Linked DNA regions of Elephas maximus indicus. The protein of the gene in region 1 binds, or shares a complex with, the protein of each later gene. Links are inferred from orthologs where the notes say so. Each region holds a gene or a part of one and is shown on either strand. Other genes may lie near its edges.

The links.
Region 2: the proteins of MALT1 (region 1) and BCL10 are in contact, whole or in part, in a cryo-EM structure (PDB 6GK2), measured with the Homo sapiens proteins. The link is inferred for Elephas maximus indicus from reciprocal best matches to the Homo sapiens genes MALT1 and BCL10. Residues at the interface, in NP_006776.1 of Homo sapiens: Asp46, Gln47, Ala48, Pro49, Trp54, Arg55, Leu74, Glu75, Ser78, Leu79, Val81, Leu82, Glu83, Pro84, Glu85, Gly86, Pro88; in NP_003912.1 of Homo sapiens: Leu13, Lys17, Val83, Arg87, Asn93, Gln97, Thr100, Leu104, Arg107, Asn108, Leu111.

Annotation. Positions count from the first base shown.
Region 1 is NC_064829.1:67,258,895-67,268,460, forward strand, and holds the start of MALT1 (mucosa-associated lymphoid tissue lymphoma translocation protein 1), read left to right. Parts: upstream 1-5,635; 5' UTR 5,636-5,822; coding exon 5,823-6,049; intron 6,050-6,974; exon of another isoform or gene 6,975-7,077; intron 7,078-9,566. UniProt on the Homo sapiens protein: Protease that enhances BCL10-induced activation: acts via formation of CBM complexes that channel adaptive and innate immune signaling downstream of CARD domain-containing proteins (CARD9, CARD11 and CARD14) to activate NF-kappa-B and MAP kinase p38 pathways which stimulate expression of genes encoding pro-inflammatory cytokines and chemokines.
Region 2 is NC_064821.1:134,720,676-134,729,310, reverse strand, and holds the start of BCL10 (B-cell lymphoma/leukemia 10), read left to right. Parts: upstream 1-4,904; 5' UTR 4,905-5,227; coding exon 5,228-5,284; intron 5,285-8,635. UniProt on the Homo sapiens protein: Plays a key role in both adaptive and innate immune signaling by bridging CARD domain-containing proteins to immune activation.

The DNA.
Region 1 (9,566 bases):
TAAACTCACGTCCATAGGAAGCCTTTTCGGAAGAGGTCTACTTATTCTGAATGCTGTTATTTATATCCCATTTTATTTAATGGTGTATCACAGAGAACCTGCTAATGATATATATTTTTACAATTCTTCTCTTAGGAATCATTTATCATCTCCACCTTTCAGGTTTACTCATTCAACAACAGGGCTAAATCTTCTAAAACCTTTTGCCCTGTCTTCTGTACTTCGCACAATACTCCATGCACTAGAAAGGCTTGTTTCATTTCTTGCTGAGTACAACTTATGAATGATACATTGAATGTTTGAACAAGACTCTTTAAAGCATAGTGATTCATGCAACCTGGCACTATTATGGAGTAGTAAAACGTAATCCCAAACATCTCCTGAATGTGTTCTTCCTCTCTAAGCCTTATATCATGGCTCTTAGCTAATGTCTTCATTTCTAACCTGTACTACTGCAACACTTCCTGAACCTCCAGTTTTGCCCCTCCCTACGTTGCTGCCCAAGTCAGTTTTTGAAAATCTGTTTAAAATATCTCAGTTACTTCCCATCACCTACACCAGGGTTTCTTACACTTCAAACACTTAACCAGTTTAGGGATTTTGACATATCCACATACCTACCTGTACATTGGATATGTGATATAGTTTTTTAAACAAAATCACATTTTTTACTTAAATAAAAAATGTAGCATTGTCCCAATCAATCCTGTTAGCAAAATGACAACTTTGATTGGCAGATATTTTTCTAAAATATATTAATACATAACTACTTAAATTAAAATATGGGCCACTTAAAATCATCTTGTATAACATCAGTGGGGCACATACTACCCTGCAAAAGGCACAGAACTACAGCACAAAAGCTCACTCCTTGGACATCACACAATCTAGTCTTCACTTCCTTTTCAGTCTTGGTCTCTGTCCCTCTCTTACATGTTTCCCCAACTCTGCTGAACCAACTGCAGTTCTCCAGCCTTGCTGTGATATTTTATGGCTTTACATATGACTTTATCTTTACACATGGTATTCCTTCTACCCTGTTTTCTAAACCATCTCCTCATTTTTCCCTGCCATTCCTCCCCTCCCCACATGGAAGGACAGGCTCTCCTCTGTATTTCACATCCCTCCTTTCTTGCCTCCAACAGAGTACTCGCCACTCCCTTTCCTTTCCAAGAGATTGAATTTAGTCAACACTGTACCCTCAGCAGAGCCCTGGTGGCACAGTGGTTAAGGGCTCAGCTGCTAACCAAAAGGTCAGCAGTTTGAATCCATCGGCCACTCCTCGGAAACTCTATAGGGCAATGCTACTCTGTCCTATAGGGCCACTATGAGTCGGAACCAACTGACGGGAACAGGTTTGGTACCCTCAGCACTGTAAGAAAAAATTAAGGAAGCCTGAAATGCAGTGGGTATTCTAACTGGCTCATACAACTGGGTTATCTTCACCTTTCATTGTCTTTGACTAGGCTATGTACAACTGTGAAGAGACAGAAGTTAACTGGTAGGAAACTGACAGTAATGTAAATAAGTCTTGTTTATAAATAAATAACTTGTGTTTAGTAAAAGTCTGATTGACTTCCCTCCTCCACTGTGGGAGAAGCCAGTTTTGCATCTTTTAAAAAAAAAAGACCCATTGCAGTCGAGTCCATTCCAACTCATAGCAACCATACAGGACAGCGTAGAACTGCCCCATAGTGTTTCCAAGGAGCATGTGGTAGATTCAAACTGCTGACCTTTTGGTTAGCAGCTGTAGCTCTTAACCACTACACCACTAGGGTTTCCCTGCATCTATTAAGCAGATTCATTTCAGCATCCTTGATGGGCTTATATATTTATCTGGTCTTTGGATTCTCCTTTGAACTGGTTGTAACACTTGTCTGACACCTTCTTTAATTAAAGGGCTAAATAAAATCTTTGACGCGTGTCCATTATATATTCATTGATAATTACAATTTTACCTTTTAAAATACTTATCCTTTAAGAGTATTTGGCACAGAGCCTGGCACAAGGTAGGCACCCAATAAATATTGTTAAATGAATGAATGAATTTAAACAAGTAAATGTAGTCTTTGTAATGTAATCGAGTACTTAGGCCTGTATCATCATGAAGGAAGGGTGTGGAATACTCATGTTACACTCGGTTGTTCCAAGGTTGAAATCAAAATCCCCCTAATCCTTTGGGACATAGCAGTGAGGTGGGTTGCAGTGGATGTGGAGAGCCTTGTATCTGGCTGAGTCAGAGAGGTCACATTGGGCATGGGATAAGAGACGGGAGACAATGATGCCATTTAGGTCACATAACTCCTTTCAATCCATTGTGCACAAATCTAAGGACCTGCAGCATTTCTCCTGCGCTGAGTCTTTTAAATCCTGACCAGATAATGAAATAATACGATGTTTTGGCATTTTCCATTTGCGTACCGTCCATAGTCGAATTGCGTAAAAAACAAAAATAATCTATGAGTCAGTTTCCAGATCTGTAAGAGTTTGGAAGATTACATCAATGGATTTTCAAAGAATGGAACAATGCATGAAGTTCCTACAAATTGTCTGGATTCTCAAAGTCTAACGTCACTTTCCATGAATGAGGAAAAATTCCTGAGAATATTATCCATAGACATGCATAAACTTTTAAGTAGCACTTAAAAGCCACATCTCCACCCTCGATTCTCCTCCTACCTTTATATAATGGTCGAGATTGAAAAGGAAGCTGAATTACTGCTTATTATGTTGTTCCAAGAGAGATTTGTTCCCAGAATTCATGTGGCAATTTTGAGAGTACTTGCAAAGAGTTAACGTGCTTGGCTGCTGAGCAAAAGGTTAGAGGATCAAGTCCACCCAGAGGTGCCTCAGAAGAAAGGCCTGGCGATGTTTCTGAAAGGCCACAGCCTTGACAACCCTCTGCAGCACAGTCATACTCTGACACACATGGAGTCGCATGGATGGGCAGCTAAGAGCAGCAAGAGAAAGGGTGAAGTAGCAAGGAAGTACCTTATCAAATTAGGAAGGATATTTTCAGAGTAAGTAATACACTAAAACCTGTGAAAGCCAGAACCTGTGTAAGGCAGAAACCTGCCAGAGAAGGAAAACTCAAATATTTTCCACTAAAAGGAGCGATAGAAAAGTGGTATGACTACACTCTGTCAAAGGTGTGATGTTTTTGAGACCTGAAAAAACAAGCCAGTCCCACTGAGTTCCAGGTCTTACAGGTTTCCCCTTACACGTACCCATTTCAACCCATACGCACATGAGAAGCTGCATCAGCAACATCTCACAAGGGTTGCCATTCTTGTTGGTAGGCACCGTTGAGTTAGCTCCGGCTCATGGAGACCTTATGTACAACGCAACACTGCCGGGTCCTGCACCGTCCTCATGATCGTGGTTATGCTTGAACCCATTGTTGCAGCTGCTATGTCAATCCGTCTCATTGAGGGTCTTCATCTTTTTCGGTGACCCTCTACTTTACTGAGCATGTCCTTCTCCAGGGACTGGTCCCTCCTGATCACATATCTCGCATATAAACCAAAACCAAACCTGCTGCTGACATGTTGATTCCAACTCATAGCGACCCTACAGGACAGAGTAGAACTGCCCCATAGGGTTTCTAAGGAGTAGCTGGTGGATTCAAACTGCCGACCTTTTTGTTAGAGGCAGAACGCTTAACCACTGGTGCCCCCAGGGCTCCATCTTGCACATAGTAGACTTAAAAAAAAAAAAAAGTTTGTTGAATCTAAATATTAAAAGGTAGCATTCCAATAATGACTAGAAGATTTGACTTCCGTAAGTGGCACGTGCAGGCTACCAGAAAATATTTGTTGAATGACTGAGGGCAAAACAGGAGGGTACTAGAAGTTATTGGGAAAGGTTTGCCAAATCAAGCTGAGTATGAAACAAGCCTTTGTATTTGTAATGTAAATATAATTGCTAAAAAAAAATTGAGTACCTACTACGTGCCAAGAAACCCTGGTGATGTAGTGGTTAAGAGCTATGGCTGCTAACCAAAAGATTGGCAGTTCAAATGCACCAGGTGCTCCTTGGAAACCCTATGGGGCAGTTTTACTCTGTCCTATAGGGTCACTAGGAAACCTTGGTGGTGTAGTGGTTAAGTGCTACGGCTGCTAACCAATAGGTCGGCAGTTCAAATCTGCCAGGCGCTCCGTGGAAACTCTACAGGGCAGTTCTACTCTGTCCTGTAGCGTCGCTATGAGTTGGAACTGACTCCATGGCACTGGGTTTGGTTTTGATATAGGGTCACTATGAGTTGGAATTGACTTGATGGCAACAGGCATTTTTTTTTTTTTTTTTGGTTTTACTATGTGCCAGGCACTTAGTAAATGAGGCAGGTACTTAAGCAACTTACTGAAGGTCATAAAACTAGAACCCAGCACATCTTTTTGGATCCAAAGGTCAGGCTCATTGCCATTATACTGTATTCTGAACTTGTCAAGAGACTGCATGTTGTCCGACAATGCAGTGGAGGCCATATGGAACAAATACCTGGCCAACAGGAAGTGAAAATTTGGGTCCAAGTTTTTGCTACAGAGAAACCCTGATTCCTAGGGTGATTAAAAAGTTAGTGGCACCAGAAGCTGAGCCAGGAAGCTTTGTGTTTGGGAGGTGCCTGGCTGGTCACACTTCTTAAGTCATTTGCATGCTTTTGTCCCAAACTTCCCTGGTTTTCAGTAGGATAATGAATATTGTTAAGACTAGAAGAGAGTTCAAATGTAGTCCCTGTTTATTACTCCATGTATTCTATTCTGGGTCACTCCAGGAAGAGGAACCATATACGTTCGTTGCCTGCTTTGATTCTGAAGGCTGCAGGTGGTAATCTGACGTCGGGAAAACCAAACGATCTTGTGCTGATAACAATCGTTTTCAGGATCTGATCAGGTTCGAATCCATCACTACCCTGTTTTACGAAAAAAAAAAAAAAAAGTCCATGCACTGATTTCGGCCAACTCTAATGTAAACGTTTGGATTTCTACCACTACTTCCCCTTAGCAATGCGATACCACATCCAGTTCTACGAGGAAGCCTACACTGAGGTTGCCCGATGCGAGCGCTGGGGGAGTCGCTGGGCACACGCAAGTCACGGGGTCAACTGCGAGCGACCCTGGAGCAGCTGCGGGGCCGGCGATGGGGAACCGCGTGCTCCCCTCTTCGGTGAATGACTTCTCGGCGTGAAGCAATCTTCCTCCCACCGTCTCGGGAAGCCCCGACACCGCAGGCTTCCTCGCCACAGTGGAGCCGCCGAGGCGTAGATCCTCCACCGCCTCCTCCTCCAGCTGCAATTACCCGACCCTTCCTGTATAACGAGGACGCCACCTCCCAGATTTGAAGCGCGCGCCACCATGAAGCCCGAGACTACGCGGGAGGCGGTGGAAGGTGTCGGCCGCACGCACGCGCAGAGGTGGTCCGGCCCCGCCCCCAAGGCCCGGCCCAGGCCCCGCCCCTAGGCTCGCCCAGCGGGGTCGGACCGCGGGATACCCTCCGAACCGGTCTCAATGGGGCGGAGAACGGAGCTTCCCGGTCCGAGGGCTCCGGCCCCGCCCAGGCCCCGCCTCCCTGGGCCCCGCCCCCTAGCCCCGCCCCCCCTAGGTCCCGCCCCTCGGCGCGCTCAGCGCGGCCGGCCGGCCGGGCGCCCAGACAAACCTGTCTTAGCAGGGAGGGGAGCTGAGCTTCCTCCTACCAGCACGGTGTTGCCGCCCCATTTGTCCTTCCGCCCGTGCCTCCGCGACTGCGGGGCGAGCGACGGGGAAAGCAGAAGGTGCGCTGAAGCCGAGGCCCGCGGCCCGGCCGGCGCAGAGTCGCCGGCGCGGGACATGTCGCTCTGGGGGGAGCCGCTGCAGGCCCCGCCACCCTCGGCCTCACACCCGCCCCCGACCGCGCCCGCAGGGCCGCCGCCACCCCCTCCGGCCAGCGCGACCCTCAACCGCCTACGGGAGCCGCTGCTGCGGAGACTCAGCGAGACCTTGGACCGGGCGCCGGAAGGCCGGGGCTGGAGGAGGCTGGCTGAGGTGGCGGGGAGTCGGGGGCGCCTCCGGCTCAGGTGAGGCGGCGTGGGCCGGGGGCGCTGTGGGGGAGGGGAGGTAACAGGGCGGGGTCGGCGTCACGTGGGCGCGGAGGGGTCCTGGGGCGATCGACTTGAGACTGCAAAGTGGAAGCAGTGACACTGCTGTGCCCGCGGCTGGAAACCCGTCGGGGACCAACCAAGTTGGGGGACCGCTGGTGGGGAAGGATGTGGGGAGGGCTTAAGTCATCGTTTAGAGAGAGCCTCCTGGACCTAGGAAGGTCCTGGGAATGCGAGAGTTTGGAGGCTGTGGAATGGAGATGTTTCCCACCCTTTTCCTGCCCTCCCTTGATCTGAAAGAGGGACGTGGAGGGCCAATAAGAGGATACAGAGAAGGAAAGCTAGTTATGATATGGCAGTTGGCAATTCCAGACGACTTAAGATACAAAAGAAAGGGATATTGACGCGCACCTAGAAGACCTAAGGAAGGTTGGGAGGGAGACGGAGACGTGCAGCTAGAGAGGTAATGAAAGCAGAGGATTTGAGGCACAAGAATCCATGGGTTTTATGTAGGTAGAGAAGAATGGTGGGAAAGACTGAAACGGAGTTCTCTTCTTGTCTTCTCCGTGAACATTATAAGTAAAGCTGTTTTCCTTGTTACCCGGTTTGGAACCACTGTACTAGGGATTCTTGAACTTTTTGGCGTCGGGACGCCTTTACTCTTTTAAGGATTATTGAGATTTGCCAAAGGGTTTTTGTTTATGTGGGTTATGTATTACATATAATGTATATTGACGTTTACCATATTAAAAATTAAAACTAAGACTTTTAAAAATATTTGTTTAACAATCATACTAACCCTACATCTTAACAGAAATAACGTTTTTTGTGACAACACAGACTTTTGTAAAACGAACCAAAAAAATTAGAGGAGTGGATTTATTTTACATTTTGAAATGCTCACTAATGTCTTGGCTTAATCGCAGACAGCTGGATTCTTTCTGTCCGCTTTTGCATTGAGTTTGTTGCAGTGTCACAGGTCTCTCCTGAAAGAATGAATGAAAAAGGTAAATAATGTCTTAGTATTACTATGAAAAGTCATTTTGGCCTTGCAGACCCCCTGGAAGGGTCTCAAGAACCCCAATAAGCATTCTCAGACCATGCTTTGAGAACTACTACAATATACATTATTCTGATTTTGGTCTATCTTTTAACTCCTTACCAGTTTTTTTAAATTCTCATATGACTAAATGTTATCTTGTACTATAATTTGTACATATCTTTGTAAACTCCTTGAGAGCAGGCACCATCTTTTAATATTCTTTTAGTTATTCATAGAACCTTTTTTTTTTATTGTACTTTAGATGAAGGTTTACAGAGCAAATTACTTTCTCATTAAGCAATTAATACACATATTGTTTTGTGACATCGGTTGCCAACCCCACGACACGTTAACACTCTCCCCTTCTCAGCGTTGGGTTCTCCATTACCAGTTTTCCTGTCCCCTTCTGCCTTCTCCTCCTTCCCCCTGGGCTGATATGCCCATTTAGTCTCATTTGTTTTTTGGGCCTGTCTCATCTTTGGCTGAAAGGTGAACCTCAGGAGTGACTTCAGTACAGAGTTAAAAGGGAGTCTGGAGGGCCATACTCTTGGGGTTTCTCCAGTCTCTGTCAGACCAGTAAGTCTGGTCTTGTCTTTTTTTTTTTTTTTTTTTAATGAGTTAGAATTTTGTTCTACATTTTTCTCCAGCTCTGTCCCGGACCCTCTATTGTGATGTCTGTCCAAGCCGTCAATGGTGGTAGCTGAGCACCATCTAGTTGTGCTGGACACAGTCTAGTGGAGGCTGTAGTATTTGTGGTCCATTAGTCCTTTGGACTAATCTTTCCCTTGTGTCTTTAGTTTTCTTCATTCTCTCTTGCTCCAGATGGGGTGAGACTAGTGGAGTATTACAAGCTTTTAAGACCCAGATGCTACTCACCAAAGTAGGATATAGAACATTTTCTTTCGAAACTGTGTTATGCCAGTTGAACTAAGTGTTCCCTGAGACCATGGCCCCCAGCCCTCAGCCCAGTAATTTGGTCCCTCGGGGAGTTTGGATATGTTTATGGAGCTTCCATGACCTGCATAGAACCTGTCTTAATAGTCAATAAATATTTGTTGAATTGAGAGGGGGAATCATTCATTCAAAGTTACACTTACTTGCCTATTATTTGCCAGAAGTTTGAGAAGATAAAAAAATGACATCTATTTAGCTCCTAGTCACAAGGGCTTAACTGATAATGGACATTATTCTAGGACATTCACAAATAACATGTTAAATGTTATGTAGTAAAGATGTGTAATAATAACAGCAGTAATTTTTTTTTGTCATTTATTGAGCACTTAGCTTATACCAGACAATGTACTGTTTCCATGCATCATTTACGTTAATCCTCACAACAACACAGTTTTCCGAGAAAATGAGGTTAAGGCAAAGAGAAATGATGATTTAGGATTATTTGCATGTAAAGATGAGAGAAACAAGAAGTGGTAAACTTGCAAAATTTGAGCAGGCAGCATTTTTTCTGCTCTAGGGAAAACATCATTGAGCTTTTCAGCGAGCAAAGAAAATCCAAAATGGTATTTTTCTAGGTTCGTAAATTTCCAAATGTGTAAACTTTGGGGGTCTGAAGTTTGGAGAGTTTGGGATCATTTAGTTCATACACCTTTTGGGGTCAGAGAAGATCCACGTAGTCTGAGGCCTAGAGTGAGCAGAAAGAATTAAACTTAGATAAAAAGTTAGCATTGGGAGAAGGGCAGCTATGATAGCAGAGGATGCTAATGGTACTTTTCTCTAGTATCAGACGTAGGGATTGTCCTGTGTAAATCCAGCCCAAATGGATAAAAAGTCCCATGAGGATATAAATTGTTTCCATCAGTGGTCCTAGATTCACAGGCCAAAAATCTCCAAAGGTTTCTTTTTTCTTCTCTCTCTTCCACTTTTTTCCAGACTCTTTACATCTTTCCTCAAACCAGAAAAGAATTTAATTTTAAAAAGAAGGAAAAAACCATCAGAAAATAGAGTCCTTTTAGAACCACTCATCAGGCATTAGGAATAATTTTAAATATTTTCAGATGGTTATTGATGTGTACCATCTGCCCTTAATACGTGCCCAGACCTAATTCTGTACCAGACTGGTCTACTATTGAATACCCTTTCCTATCAGTGTGGAGATAGGCAGGCACTGGTTTTCGGTGTCTTGCTCAGCCTGTGTAAATTCCATAGTGGCAGGGTACATCTGGGCCCTACAGAAAAACAATCTGCCACTGCATACCTGCTGTTTGGAAGGTGCTCTTAGCTGCAGAAATCCCACCCTTGAGCATCTTATAACATGCTATAGGAATGAGAACATTTAAAAAGCTTTAAGAAAAGGTCTCCTCCCCGTGTCTTCAGTCTCTGAATGTTGGCATGCCTTGGGCTAAGTCATTGTGTCTCTCTGTACAGGTCTTTCACCTCATCTTCTTCGTGTCATCCTTCAGTTTCATGGCTTCCCATGTATTTAGGCTGATTACGACC
Region 2 (8,635 bases), on another chromosome or scaffold:
TTCTTTTCACGTATTTCGTTTGGGTCAAGAAAAGAATATGTAGGAGAGGGATAATTATTTTAACATAAACAGTAAAATGAATGAAAGTGGAAAGTTTGCCTATATTAAAGTAAGTTAAATTCATGTATCTTCATATAATTAAATCATGTAAGTAAGAACTAACAGTTTTAAATACATTTCCATTGTTTTACTGGGGACTTACTCTAAACTTAAATGCAAGTGAACAAAAGCATTAGGAATATACAACATTTAGGCTGCTTCTCTGGGGTTATTACCTATCAAAACAGCTCAGTGAGCAGTTACACACCTGTGATGGCTAAGACTGTGTGTCACCTTGGCTGCGTCATGATTGTCTCAGTGTTTATATGTGATCACTTCCATGATGGGATCTGCTATGAGTAGCCAATCAGTTAAAAGGGAGTGTCCTTGGGTGTGTGGCCTGCATCCGAATATAAGCATACGTTCTGGTTTTTGCCTGCTCTGGGTCCTGCAGCTGGCTCCAGTTCATCTGAGCTCCAGTTTTTGGGACTTGAGCTAGCAGGTTATCTCCTGAGATTCAGCAGTCTTCACAGACTGTGAGCAAGAGCCCTGCTCTCCAACCTGCCGACCTTGGGTTCACCAGCCCCTGCAGCTAAATGAATGAGGACAAGCCTCTATCCTGATCCACAGACTTGGAATGTTCCAGTCTCTACAACCACATGAACCGTTTCTTTGATATAAATCTCTCTCTCTATATATTTATATGTTTACCGGTTTTGCTTCTCTAGAGAACCCAGCCTAAGACACTACCAATAAAATAGTCTGACATGTCCTCCAAATTTAACATAGTAGGAACTTTTCGAGTAAATCGTTACATTTTGTTTCTTTTGTTTGTGACTATGCTTTTAAAGATGTGTTTAACTGTCACATTAAGGAAAAAAAAGTTCATATACAATACAAAAAAAAAGAAAATACCACCCTAAACCCCACAACACACGGAACCAAGTATATATGGTCAGAGATTCCATAAATTATTTGAAGATGCATTTTCTTTCCTACAAATTTTTAGTATCTAAAATGCGCTTTTGAGAGGCCACCGGTCAATACACACACGCTTAAAATAAACCATAGTATTCTATTAGTAAGAACTCCTATAGTAAGGGCGATTCAAATTGTATTTAGCAAATTAGTAACTTAAATGCTTCAACAAAGTATAGACAGTGCATCTTCTCACTTCTCACCTTCATACGGTATTTTCTTTTTTGGGTGTTCATACCTTTTAAGATATAAAAACAGCCAAATATTTAAGCAATATGCACATTTAAATTTTTTGGTGGTGGTTTGTACTTTAAAAGAAACAGCTGCCTCGAGGTCTGGCGGAAACAATTTCAGGAACTAGCACGTAACAAAAACCAAGAGAAAAATTAGAAGCACATTCAAAATACTGATTTACTTTGGTAGGAAATGGTTGTTCTTTGAAGACAAGTGAAGGTAGACAAGACCCATTAAGGTGAAGTGAGCCATTACAAAAATTCAACATTTTACATAAAATTTCAAAAAAAGGCTACTTTTAAAGAGCTAAGCATTTGTATCTACTGATAGCAAGGCAAAAACTGCTTTATGACTTGAAACAAAACAAATGCCCATGAGAAAAACAGCTGTATTTAATTTTATCTAAATTTATTTTCAGTCAATAGTCCAGTAACATTTTTCTTCCCAATATGATACTCCCTTTCTATAAGGCTGTTCCCAGGAGCCATACAGGTCATATAATGGGGGAGTTAAGCTAGAGGGTAGTTGCTGGCATTTTGAACCAGTTTAAATAGACAGGAACTTTTGCTTCCCTCTCAATGTACTGATAGTTGTGTTTAAAAAAAATATGCAAATCTTAAAAAGGTATCATTTCTGATTTATTATCTGTAACATTTGGAAACTAATCATATGAAACTACAAAATTAGCAAATGTCTTGAAATCTGTATATAAAACATAAATTACCTCTAATTTCAAACTCTCATTTAATATATCAATCTTAAAAAAAAAAAAAAAGTGGCTCCAAAGATAGTTTTATACCATTCTTTAAAAAAGGAAACTGTTCATTTTAACTTTACACCCACCCCACACCCCAATCACAAAACACATCATTTTATTGTATTGGTCATGGACATTTCCAAGAAGAGATTTTATATTTCACTCCCATAGCTTCTGGTTATCCGAAAACCCATGCTTTCCTTTGTTGAAGGAGTTTGGTCCTGCTGATGTTGGTGTATCCATTCCAATTTTCTTCATCCTCAACTTTGCTTCTGGAGGCATTTCCTCTGGTTCACTACCTTCGTCTTCATTAAAAGCTGCTGCTATTGAAAGGTTTTTGGAGCAAGAGTTGGAACTGTTTCTTAAGGCTTACTTGATCCAAGTTTGATGGATATGGCTGATGCTTTCTTTGTCATCTGACTACCTATGGCAAATCCAAACTTGGAGATCTTTGTAGGCTTTGTTTGGGAAATCTCCAGCTTCTTCTTCAGCTGATTGTTTCTCAGCGCTGTGACCCGAAATTTCCCCTCCATTACTCTGACGGCTCCAGCTCGTTGCGGATTCTCCCGCTTCTCCTCTCCCACCTTCCCGTCTGCCTGGACAAATTTTTTATAGCAATGATAATTTGGGACCAGCATTAAGGTAACAATGGGGAAGTGTATACCATTGCTCCCACTCTGATCACGACACCCTCATGTTTGCCTGGATCACTGCAGGAGCATTTAGCTTGTCTCTCTGCTTCTGTCCTTGATCCTACAGTCTACTCAGCAGGCAGACTGATCCTTTCAGAATGAAATCAAGTCACTTCCCACCTTCTTTTCAGAATGTTCTCGCCATTCACACTGCTACCACACTGGTCTGAGCCACCACCTTATGGGACCTGGGTTATGGCAATAGGCCTTAACTGGCCTCCCTTCTTCCACCTTCCACTTGATTAGCACAACAGTGAAAGTGTTCCTTTTCAAATCCTCTGCTCAGAGCCCTCCAGTGGCTTCTCGTCTGACTCAGAGTAAACGCATATGACTCAGAGCAAAGTCAGAGTAAATTCTCACAAAGCCATATAGGGACCTCACCTCCTTCTCTGCACCCCTAACTCACTCCATCCCAGCCACAATGGAGCCTCTTCCTTGGCTGTTCACTCTACTCATAAGGTTTTCTCCAGATGCCCAAATGGCTTACTCTTTCATGTCGTAAATCAAATCTCACGGTCTCAGTGAGGTCTTCATTGACCACCCTATTTTAAATTTTACCCTCCCACTCCATACAGCCTTTTCCTGATTCTCTGCTTTATTTTTTCTCTTAGCACTCGTCATCTAATATTCTAAAGGAGCAGTGGTAGCACAGTGGTTAAGTGCTGGGCTTCTAACCAAAAGGTTGGCTGCTCAATCCCACCAGCTGCTCCATGGGAAAAAGATGTGGCAGTCTGCTTCTGTAAAGATTCCAAACCAAAACCAAACCCATTGCCATGGAGTTGATTCTGACTCATACCAACCCTATAGAACTGCCCCATACGATTTCCTAGGCTGTAATCTTTACAGAAGCAGACTGCCACATCTTTCTCCTATGGAGTGGCTGGTGAATTTGAACCACCCACCCAAGCACATTTACTGCACTACCTAAGGACTCTGTTGCTTTGTATAAACCTCTGTTATTAGAACACCATTCTGGGAATAGTTGTCCTGGACTATTAGAGCAGAATAGGACAGAGACTGAGGGGGGAAATCAGTATCCCCCAATAAAATGGGAGAACTCTTACAGAAGGAGATGCCTGGAATATATTAGTAAGGACTCAATAAATGTTTGAGTAATAGAAGATAATACTAATAAATTGAGTGCTTATGTGTGCAAGGTACATCTAAGAGCCTTACTTATACCCAGGGCTTTGAACCGGTTCTTCACTGCTCAATCATGGCAGAAGGCGGCACATGGGAACAGACCAAATTCTTAAAAATTGGGTAAACCAAAATGGGAAAAATTACAAATTTAAGCCCTGCTAGAAACTTAATCTCCCTCTTAAGAAAACAGGGGCAGCATATGTGTTGCACAGCAACCACATCTCTTGCCCTTCAGATTTTTGCGCAGTCATAATAGTGCTGCCCCGCTCAAAGATGGCAGCCAACCACACTGCCTTGAACTGTGTGTCGCTCTCTTCAGTCCTAGTAATAACTCCATTTCACACATTATGCTCCTGAAAGGGCTCACTACACCTCTACCAAGTGTCCCATTCCAGGGCTTTGACCCATAATTCTTCCCATTGTGGTTATGGTTCCGAATCACTCAAAATTTAAAAATTCAAGTCTGTTCCCATTTTGCTTCATTAGCCATGACAGAACCAGTTAGAACCAGTTTGAAGCCTTTCCTATATCATTTAATTCTCACAGCAGCCCTATGAGGCAGGTATATCTCCGTTCAACAGATTAATCTACGAAGAAAAATGTTTATGAATAGCGACTAAAAAAGTATGTCAACGTTAAATTGCGTGTTTAAGTGGCGGGACTGCAGATGGTGGTTTTTCTCTTTCAAATATTTAATATTGCATTTACGCTGTGTGTGTGTATGTTGCCAGGTAATTAAAAAACTTAGGCGGGCAAACCCAGCAACCGGAAATTGTTATGACGGAGTCTGGGAAAAGGGGAGGTACCCAAAAGTACAGCCGACACTGCACCGGACTCCTGCAAAACTGGCAGTTCGTGAAGGTGCGGCATGCCGGTCGGCTGAGCAGCGATGTGCTCCACCCCCGGAAACGATTCCTTATAGGAAGGCCAACCCGCGGCCACATGCAAACGACCTGCGGAGGCGTGGTCTGAGGTGACGCCTGTTGAAGGCGGAGCTACTATTGAAAGGCTCCAGCCAGGGGGCGGGAACAGGAGTGGTCCGCAGCCTGCGACTGATTGGCTGCAGCGGTAACGGGGCGGGCTCTACCGAAGGACCAGCCTCACCGAGGTGCCTGCGCTGAAGCCTCCCAGAGAGCAAAGGAACTCGGCTCCCACCTTGGCGTTGCGACGCGTTGGAGTCTGAAGCGCCGTCGGCCTCAGAGGCGGAGCCGGAAAGCGCTACGTTCGACCCCCGAGCCGCTTTGTTTTCGAAGAGGGGAGCCCTTCCTCATCCGCTCTGCGTCCCTTTCTTTCCCCCCGACCCGGAGGCCAAATCCCCCAGGCTGGGCGGGGTGGCGCGGCCCAAGCTCCAGACCCGGAAGAAACGCCATCTCCTGCCTTTGCTATGGAGTCCACCGCGCCGTCCCTCACCGAGGAGGACCTGACTGAAGTGAAGAAGGACGTGAGTAGCACCACCTTGTCCAGCCGCTGCCGGGGGTGGGCGGGGGCGGGTTGTGACCCCTCGGGAGAGGGAAACGGAAACCCAAGTCCGAGAACGAGGTGGAGCCTCCGGGTTGGAGGAGCGGAAAGTCTGATCACTGGAGGACCGCGCCGAGGCTTGCATCCGAGGGACTTTGGTGAACGTGATCCCTCGGGAGCTGTTAATCTACTTTTAAAAATCACTAAACACGGGACTTGAGTTTCTCAAACTTTGTTCGGGGGAGCGTTTCTTCGCGGTCAGCTTCTGGCCCACTCCTCACCCATTCCCACTCAGTTATCCCCTCTTTGCACTCTTGGAGCTGCGTTGTTAGCATCGATGGCTCAGGTTCATCCCTGAGTCAGACTGAGGCTGCTCTCCCAGCCAAGAGCAAAAGCTTGACCACATAACAGATCCCAAGCAGTGGAGCGAACATGTGAAACTCTTGTAAAGGGACTGGGGGAAGCTCAACAGCTGAAAGAACAAACTGGAATTCCCCTAGTAAGCGAACGCCCACATATTTAAATTGGGGGTGGGATTGAGTACTTGCAGCTGAGAATTAATTTACAGGTAGATGTTGGAAATATTCACTAGTTAAATTATGCTCTTCTGCATCGTAGCTCCCGAATTGCACAAGCCTTAATATTGATTTATAAAGCATGGCTTTGTTGACGTATAATTTGTTTCTCTTTTTCCTTTAATTTTAGTTACTTGTTTTGCCATGTGAGACATATGAGTACCACTAAAATACTTTATATTAATTCATATGAAAAACAAACTCATCATGAAGTGTGTTTTGACTTGCCATTGCAGTACTTAAAAAATAATCTTTGGGAGTTGGAAAACACAGGAGCTTTTTTAATGTTCATCAGCTTCAACTATCTCCCTTTTCCCTTCCCTGTAGGTGTTATTACACTGTACTGGTAATTACAACTGGTATGACTCATTAACAAAAGGAAGCTGGACATTAAACTGTATGACTGGAACTCGTGCCTTAGTTTCCTCATTCAGCAGATATTTATGGAGCACTTAGGATGTGCAAAGTACTGTTTTAGCCCTGGAAGGATACAGAAATGAAGGTCAAGTTCCTGCATTACAGTCTAGTTGAGATAAGGCTGGGACACTGATGACAACTGTAGAATAAATGAGAGTCCTGGTGGCACAGTGGTTAAGAGCTTGGTTGCTAACCACAAGGTTGGCAGTTCAAATCCACCAGCTGCTCCTTCAAAACCCTATGGGGCAGTTCTACTCTGTCCTTTAAGGTCGCTGTGAGTTGGAATTGACTCAACAGCAACGGGTATAGAATAAATGAATGTCGTCTTAGTCAAGAAAAACCTCTTCAAGAGCTAGACTTCCTATGTTCCAGATGCTGTGCCACACAATTTCCAGAGCTCCCATTTAATCTTTATAACAACCTCTAAGGGAGATAATTGTTATTCCCATTTTATACGTGATGAAACAGGCTCTAAGAGGTTACAGGTAGGAGGATATGAGACCTGTACACAAATACACATGTGAAGAGTGGCATCCAAGCTTTTGTTTTCTGTGTTCATTCATTGATGTTATCCATCTCCATTATTTCAGCTTACATCTGTATCAGAAACTCATAACCCTGGTGAAACCATGGATGGGTTTTGCAAAGTCTACGGAAAAAAATGCGTGTGTGCACATTTTTTTTTGTAGAGATTTTTTTCTGTAATATTTTTAAATGGGGTTTATGACCTTAAAAGTTTTATAATTACCATCTACATATTTGGACTTGCTTCCCTTTCACCTCTAGGCCCATATTATCAAATATCTACTGGAATCTCCTTTTATATTCTGCATATTTCTCACTTTGTCTAAAATTGGACTTTATATCATTGTTCCTCCAAAGCTGTTTGCTGTTCCTGCTGTATCCTCTGTCTTCATGAATGGCGTACCCATCCATCCTCCTGGAAACTCCCACTTGTTTCATTATACTCCCTCCACCCCAATCTAGTTGTTTACCTCATCTTTTTGGTTGAATTTAGCTCAGTTTAATAAATATGAATTACATGTTACTTGTGAGGCTCATAACATAGTTGGTTCTGACAGTTCAAAAATAAAAACCAAGACACACTCCTGTTTCGACAGAGAGTTCAGTTTCTTGGGGCAACGAAGAGAGATATAATACAACAGGTGCAATGAATTTTGCATTCATCTAAAATTCTGTCTACTTGGCACTCTGCTAGGTGCATGGTATACGGTGTTGAATAAAACATACCTGGTTCTTGTGTGTTCAAACTTATAGGTCATTAGGATTAAAAACAAATATATGTATAATTACAAATTACGATGAGTACTATGAAGGAGACAAGTGCTGAGATAATAACCAGGGAAGTGTACCTGAGATAGAATGATCAGAGAAAGTTACACTTAAAGTGATTCCTGAAGGATGTAACACTGCTGAGGGAAGAGCATTCTAGGCAGAATAGAATTTACAAAGGACCTAAAATAGGCAAGAGCTTGGTGACTTCAGCAAATTGGGAGAAGGCAGAGGGTAGCCTGAAGTGAGGTTAGGAAGGCGAGCATGAACCAAGTCATGAAGAACTTTAAAGATGATAGGTAGTAAAGGATTTGGGTTTTTCCCAAGTGTCTTAGAAACCCTGATGGCATAGTGGTTAAGTGCTAGGGCTGCTAACCAAAGGGTCAGCAGTTTGAATCCGCCAGGCGCTCCTTGAAAACTATGGGGCAGTTCTACCCTGTCCTATAGGGTCGCTATAAGTCGGATTCGACTCGACGGCACTGGGTTTGGTTTTTTTGTTTGTTTGTTTTCTTAGTTATCTAGTGCTGCTATAACAGAAGTACTACAAGTGGATGGCAAACAAGTTTGTTCTTTCACAGTCTTAAGGTAGAAGTCCAAATTCAGGGCACCAGTTCCAGGGGAAGCCTTTTTCTCTCCGTTAGCTCTGGAGGAAGGTCCTTGTCATCAGTCCAAATTCAGGGCATCAGCTCCAGGGGAAGCCTTTTTCTCTCTGTTAGCTCTGGAGGAAGGTCCTTGTCATCAGTCGTCCCCAGGACTAGAAGCTTGTCAGTGCAGGGACCCCGATCCAAAGGACACGCTCTTCTCCTGGCTCTTGTTTCTTGGTGGTATGCGGTCCCCATGTCTCTCTGCTCACTTCTCTCTTTTATGTCACAAAAGAGATTGATTTAAGACACAACCTAATCTTGTATATTGAGTCCTGCCTCATTAACATAATTGCCCCTAGTCCCACCTCTTTAACATCATAGAGGTTGGATTTACAACACACAGGAAAATCACATCAGATGCCAAATGGTGGAATCACACAATATTGGGAACCATGGACTAGCCAA